Sus scrofa: one gene and its partner. The protein of the gene in region 2 purifies or fractionates together with the protein of the main gene of each other region. This does not show direct contact. Links are inferred from orthologs where the notes say so. Each region holds a gene or a part of one and is shown on either strand. Other genes may lie near its edges.

Region 1 (3,824 bases), on a different chromosome or scaffold from region 2:
AGACATAACATATATTCAAGAAAAGTACCTCTGTGAAATAAATTTAAAATGCTCAATTTTTATTTAAAATATTATCAAACATAACCATAATGTATTTCTAGTTTGCATTTCTACTTTTCATAACAAAATTAGATATGTATGTAAACATCATCTATTCACACTGGTACTTGAAATTTACATTAGTGAAACTGAAAACAGGATACATTAATTATTAAGACCAGAAGAAAAATTTGAGAGCTGGGAATCAAATCAAATAAAAGCCACTAACATCTTTTTTTTCTTTCAAATTTCAGATGAGGTTGACTACAGCATGTTTTTGGCAGTGAAAAACTAGAAAAATATGCCTTTTAATAGAGGACTTATTTAGAACACAGAAAAGAACACAGTCTTTAATAAGAAATGAGCTAGAATATATATATATATATATAATTGTGTATATATGGCCTTCAATTAAAAATGAAGAATAAGACAAGGAAAACTGTCTATACTAGTAAAGCCAAAAAAAAAAAAAAAAAAAAAAAAAAAGAGCATGTCAGAGAATACTATGTCTAATACGATTCCTGCTTAAGAACAGGAAACATAACTTGCTCACATATGCATAGATATTAAACTGCTAATGAGGAAGGGACTTCAGCACTTTCATTTTTTATAATGAGCATGTATAGGTTTTAAAAACTTAGGACAGATTCTCAACAAGTGTTAATTTTTCTTATTAATGGCTATTTTAAAAAAGTGACATAAAATTCATGTTGTTTGAAAATGACTCCTATAATGTTAATTTATTCAGGTATTCTACTTGATATAATTTAAAACAAACATTTCCTAGTTCAAAGAGCTTCTGTAAATGTTCTCAAAAATTCAACACTCACCAACCCCCCAAGTTGAAATGTTTAATGATCTGTTAATGGGGTCAGAAAACTTTTTCTGTAAGGATCAGACAAATATTTTAGCTTTTGCAGATACATGATCTCTGCTGCATATTCTTCGTTTTCGTTTTAGTTTATAACTCTTTAGGAATATTAAAAAACAACAACAACAACTTAGCTCAGATCCACAGAAAAAAGGCTGCAGGATGCATCTGCTTTGCCAACCATAGTTTGCCAACCACTGATTTATAATAACAAACCAGCATCTGGAAGTCTGATATTTTAAATATTTTACACCAAAAGTATCAGAGATCACAATAGGGTAAGTTTTATTCTACCCTAAATAAAGGTAGAATTATATAAATTAAAATTTCAAGTTAATACATTGAATTATTAACAGCATATTCTAGACACAAATCAAATGGTAGAACACAGTACATGAAATTTCAAGTATTCATTAGTATTATATAAATATGATCATGTGTGCCCCTGCAAAGCACACACATCCATTTGAAAAAGTCAGCTGAAATTGAAATACTATATATTAGGGTTCAAATATCCTTTTATAATAATTAAAACCATTTACTCATTTAAAGAATCAAAAAGAGTAATTTGCTTTAGATGTCATCAACCCTTGAAAATTAAAAAGTGAATTCAGAGACTGATAGTAATTACTGGGTTTTAATTTATTTAATTTGTAAGGGTTATTGTAAAATATTAATCAACAATCTAAAATGTTAAGACTTTAAAAAGTTTTATATATATATATATATATATATATATTTTTTTTTTGTCTTTTTGCCTTTTCTAGTGCCGCTCCAGCGGCATATGGAGGTTCCCAAGCTAGGGGTTGAACTGGAGCTGCAGCCACTGTCCTACGCCAGAGCCACAGCAATGTGGGATCCGAGCCCACAACCTCATGGTTCCTAGTCAGATTCATTAACCACTGTGCCACGACGGGAACTCCAAGTTTTATATTCTTGAAAACTTTTTAACATTTACTGTGTCAGCAATCATCACTGCAGACCTGAATATACTTTTTTTCTGTCTAAAAGACAGCTTCTACATTCTTGATTTTGTCTAAAATTGAAAGATTCCCCCCAAAAAAGTGAAAAAAAGAAATAAAATTGAAAGATCCTTATTACCATCTGGATGCTACTACCAAATGTAATTGTCATTATGAATAATAAATTGGGTCAAACTCGAAAAAGAAAATATTTCCTCCAAAAGTAACCAAATAACCATTATAGAATAATCTTACCTAGACTGGTGGGTTTTATCAGTTCATCCAGTAAATCATAAAATGGTAATTTTTGAAGTTTTATATCCGGATGGACTGGGTGAAGAGCTGATGTAAGATGTGGGAGTTCCAGTTCATGTTTAGGTCCCAAAAGAGAAACAGGGAGTAACGGTGATGATGCAGGGTGACCATCATAAGTGAGCTGTGGAATGGTAGATGGAGACAAAGTTGCTGGCATAGGACTTGAATGTACGCTGGGGATGGACAAGTCCGCAGGCGTCATGATTTTCTGGGGGAACCTCCGCCTATAGAGTTCTTTAATTTTCATTTGTACAGCAGGACTGCAGCCAGCCTTTAGCAAATGCAGGGCTTTTGTGAGAAGTTCGTGTTTGCGTCCGTGCTTGTTTCTCCCGGCGTAGCCCAACAGTACTTGGAGTTCAGAAACTCTAAGGCTCATAACCATTTGCTTAGAGACAAAACAAAATGTAAAACATTAGTATTCCAATAATATAATTTACAACATTAAACAAAGTGTTATAATAAATACTTTCTCCTTATGGTTTGCTTAAAGGTCAGCTCATTTACAGTCAATTCTAGTTATTTCAAACTTAAAATATTTTAAAAATTTTTATTGGAACATAGTTGACTTAGAAAGTTATGTTAATTTCAGGCATATAGCAAAGTAAATCAGTTATACATACACATACATCCATTCTTCTTCAAATTCTTTTCTCAGATAGGTTACCATACAGTACAGAGTAAATTCTCCTGTGCTATATACAGTAGGTCCCCATTACCATCTATTCTATATATAGTAATTGCTTCTCTGCCTTTTGGCTAAGATCAAGTGTGTTCTATATACAGTAGTCTGAATATTCAAACTTAAAATTTAGCCATTTAATATACGTAACCAAAAAAATCTATTATTTTTTTCTTTCTAGGGCTGCACCTGTGGCATATGGAAGTTCACAGACTAGGAAGGCTGCAGAGCTGCAAATCAGAGCTGCAGCCGCTGGCCTACACCACAACAAAGATAGATCCAAGCAGCATCTGCAACCTAAACCACAGCTCAGGGCAATGCCAGATCCTTATCCCTCTGAGCAAAGGCCAGAAACTGGGCCCACATCTTCAATGGATACTAGTCGGATTCATTACTGCTGAGCCAAAGAACAGGAACTCCAGCTAAAGAAATTTATAATAAATATTCAAAAATTCACCGACTTCTACCTAGTGTTATATAAGATGTAAAAGTATACACCACGTAGAACCACATCTCACCTCATTCCACTGTTACAATGAAATTCTCAGGTATTTATCAAGCACTTACTAAGTCTCCAGGACAGTGCTGAGTGTATTCCGGATGGCAAAAAGTAATGAGCCCTCAAGAACATTTATTTTCTTGGGGAAAAATTAAATAAGTATATGTGAATTACATTAACAGTCTACTTCAAACATCAGATGTAGGCAGGATACAAATAACATCAGATATTACATCCAACACTAACTTCAGAATTTATAAGGTTTAACCTATACTTTTTTTGACCCATTATATGCCAAATATATTTGATATTTTCATATGGGTTGTCATTAAATCTTTACAACTCCACAGGTATTATCCTTCCTGCTTTATATATGAAGAAACTAGTTAAGAAAAGTTAAGCAACTTAACAAAGGCCACACTGATACTAAATATCAATCAGGATTCAAACCCAGATATG
Region 2 (3,824 bases):
AGTAGAATACTACAGACAACCAATAAATACCTGCTGGATTAATTTCATTTTCTACTACAAAAATGTCTGAATTTATGCATCTCATAGCGAAGAGGAAGGCTCAGACAATCCATGTTCATATCCAAGACTTATGACCAGGTTAAAGCCTCTGCTGAAATAACAACTGACCCTGGGAACAAATTAGAAACAACTTACCAAGTTAAAAAAGGTTTTTCTTCTTTTCTGAGAGGCAAGAAACTAGGTGCTCAAGAAATTTTTGTAGAATGAATGAATGCATGAATTGCACTCAGGGCTTTCTAATTTAGCTTTGAAAATGCAAATAGACATATACTATGATAGGTATAGATTTAATCTTATGAGGGTCCACTATCATGAATACCTGAAGGGACAGCCTGTAAAACAGCTGTGTGTGTGAGATGCACATAGTCCTGTCAAGTAATGAAGTCTGTCTGGGTCAGGCCTATCCCAGCCTTGCAGTAGGGAGCGTGTGCTCAACATGTTTCAAGAATACATCTATCAATGGCCCTTACCCATCATTCCAGAGAGAGAGCAGGTGTTTCTTAATGAGTTCAAGGATACTTTCAATCCAAAGCCAGAAAGGAAAATTTTTGTCATTTATGTTTTCCTGCAAGTATACAAATGCACACATTATGAACCACAAAATCCAATACAGTGACTTACCATGCCTCCTCCCACCGTGGGATTTTAGTTTGCAAACACTGCCCAGCTGCCAAAGCTAGGGCTGTCCCCTCCAGAGAAGGCCCTCCCTCTTATCAGCATTCAGACACCAAGTTCTCCACTTCCTGAGCTGGGCTCTGCTTCCCTCTCCAAACAGCAGCCACCCGGCCAAGGAATGACCTCCAGGGTGAATCACGGAACATGAGCTGCCTTCATTTGCACTACTAATATCCAGTAGCACAAGCTTGTCAACACTGTCTGGTGACCCTAGTGGCGTCTGATTATTCCCCTCAACTGGTCTCACTGCTGGAGCAGACTCGGGCAAGCTCATCTGGCCCTGCAGGCCAGCCACGTCGGCACAGAGCGCATTCCTCATGGATGGGGCTGAAATGCCGCCAGGCCAAGGGCCACTGTGAGCAAACAGAAGACTCACTTCGGATATGAAAGAATGTTATCACACAGGCAGGTGCTTCCTGTCAGGCTCACACTTGGAGACTAACCTTTGGAGCTGAAGGAAAGTAAACAACTTGCCCTTGGGGTTCCATGGGTGAGAGAGGAATATGCCAAAGTAAGCACAGGGCGGTCAGCGTCACGGCGAGAACTCCTTTACACAGAGTGTAAAGAGCTCCAAAGTCTAAAGCCCAGACAGTACCCACCTTACAGAACCTCGTCCAGGGAATAAGACCGTCAGGGCCAGCAGTGGGACCTAAACAAATACAAATAAGCATTTTCAGGAAATGGAAATCGATTCTGAAGCTTTGGCTGGACTGATGGCTCTTGTATTTGCTCTCAGAAAGCCAACATTCAACAAAGGAAGGTTGTATGTACCTGGCTGAAACTCCCAGAGGCACTAATATTAATTACCTGCACTTTCTAGAGAACCTCCACCTGGTCCCTCTTTGTGCAGCATCGTTTCCCACTGCCTGCTTCCCTCTCCCTCTACTGTAGGCTCCTCTTCCAGGGACCCTACAGAGCTTTTTCCTAAGTTTGAACTAAGATGAAAGATGGGCCCCTAGGAGATCTATTTAACTGACACTTGACTTTAGAAGCTTATTTTAGATGATAGGCATGTCCCTCAGCCCTCCTCCAAATAGGACACGGGCTCAGGGAGATCGATGCAAATCAAATGCCAAGTTAGCGAAATGAGAGAGGGCAAGGAAGCCTAGTGGTTATCACTACAAAGTGAAGTGGCCCAGGCTGTAAGAGGCAGTGAGCCCACCATTTCCTCACAGAGAACCACAGATAAGCCATCACAGGTGGAAAAGATATGTCTTAATTTGGTGCAAATAAGGGATTTCTCACTTTTTACTAAAACAGCACAAGGTCCCCACTGTGACAGCTACATGGCCAAGAGAAGGCACTGCTGAGAGCCATTTGGTTAGGAAAAGCCTACTGGTATTTGCAGTACATGAAGCTCTGCTATACAGTAAGCAAATCCAGAGAAAAGGTACCCATGGATTTTTAAAGAAATAGTTCAGATACTCCCATGCACTGAAGATCTGACCTTGAGGCCAAGAGGTCTTGGATTTGCTTAGTGTGGAAGACTAAAAAGCCCATGACATTAGCTACCGACAGGGAATTTTCTAGCATGGCCGGGACCACATCAGGCACTGCTGGTGACAGGCATCCTCCTGATGTGGGCCGTGTCTCTGCCCACCTGACACAAGACACCTGGGTGTGTGCTGTGTGGGCGGCCCCACGACCTTATTCTTACCATGCTGGGGGCTTTTTTCTCCCCAAGGTTAACATGACTTTCATCTTTCTTATCAAAGAATATTCTAGCCACAAATAATACATTTTACATAACTCAGAAATCTTTCCCTTAGGAACTCTGCTCAGAAATGTTAATATGAGATAATGGGGAAATATTTCATTTTTTTTATTGTTTCTTTTGCTTTTTAGGGCTGTACCCATGGCATATGGAGGTTCCCAGGTTAGGGGTCAAATTGGAGCTGTAGCCACTGGCCTATGCCACAGCCACACCAGATCCAAGCCACGTCTGTGACCTATACAACTCATGGCAACGCCAGATCCTTAACCCACTGAGCGAGGCCAGGAATCGAACCCACATCCTCATGGATACCATTTGGGTTTGTTACCACCGAGCCACAAAGGGAACTCTGAAATAATTCATTTTTAAAATTTTTTATCAGGTCTGTATCTCCTTCCAAGGTGAGGCATAATTTTCACTCAGCTATAACAAACCGCAGCTATAACAAACCGCAGCTGGAAAAGCCAACAGATTTTTAGCACTCTTCTACCTTGAACAAAATAGAGAGCAAAGAGGGAAAGGGGGGCAAGTCAGGATATTTTTATGAATTTCAATGGTTAGATATACAAAAAGTTAATATGTTCATACCAAGAAGTTTCTCTCCCAGCATGTTCAGCTGGTCCACATTGAGACCTCTTTTGGTGACAGAAGAAAACTGCCAACTCAGCACCTCTGAAAGCTGAGACCATCGTGCACAAGGTGGGTTCAGGAAGAAGGACAGATTCTAGAGAGAAAACACCCAGAAGTTAAGAGCTACTAATGAGTCACCAGTCACAAGCTTGGCATTGAAAAGTGGAGCCGTGCCAGAGTTCAGTGCTAACCTCTGTGACACAGACATTTTCACAGCAGCAGAAGAGAAATACAGTCGATTCTCATTACTTGAGGATTCACATTTGTGAATTCATCTACTCACTAAAATTTAACTCCAGAATCAATACTTGTGGCACTTTTGCAGTCATCTGTGGACACACCCAGGCACACAGTGGTGAAAACCTTGAGCTGCTCAATATGTGCGTTTCCACGTGAGGTCAAACAAATCGACACTCTGCTTTCCTGTTCATAATCATACTATAGGCGGGTGTCCTTTTCGAGGTCTCTAGTGCCATGGTTTTTGCACTTTTGTGTGTTTTTGGTTGGTGATTTCCTTTTTAAAATGCCCCCTCCTGAGTGTAGGGCTGAAGTGCTGTCTGGTGTTCCTAAGTGCCTTAAGGAGAAAATGCATCAGATACAAAAGCTTTGTTCAGGCGTGAATGTGAGTGATAATGCTGTTGGCCATGAGTTCGATGTTAATGAATCAACAAATGTACTAGATAAGGAATCCTTAAACAAAACATGGCTGTGTGAACAGCTGATACAAAGACTGTGACCTGAGGCT

The links.
Region 1: the proteins of STAT1 (region 2) and PIAS1 purify together in Homo sapiens (affinity purification with western blotting; 5 studies listed by BioGRID). This does not show direct contact. The link is inferred for Sus scrofa from reciprocal best matches to the Homo sapiens genes STAT1 and PIAS1.

Annotation. Positions count from the first base shown.
Region 1 is NC_010443.5:165,994,811-165,998,634, reverse strand, and holds part of PIAS1 (E3 SUMO-protein ligase PIAS1), read right to left. Parts: intron 2,573-3,824; coding exon 2,128-2,572; intron 1-2,127. UniProt on the Homo sapiens protein: Functions as an E3-type small ubiquitin-like modifier (SUMO) ligase, stabilizing the interaction between UBE2I and the substrate, and as a SUMO-tethering factor. Catalyzes sumoylation of various proteins, such as CEBPB, MRE11, MTA1, PTK2 and PML.
Region 2 is NC_010457.5:95,611,771-95,615,594, forward strand, and holds part of STAT1 (signal transducer and activator of transcription 1), read right to left. Parts: intron 3,174-3,824; coding exon 3,038-3,173; intron 1,385-3,037; coding exon 1,335-1,384; intron 626-1,334; coding exon 531-625; intron 1-530. UniProt on the Homo sapiens protein: Signal transducer and transcription activator that mediates cellular responses to interferons (IFNs), cytokine KITLG/SCF and other cytokines and other growth factors.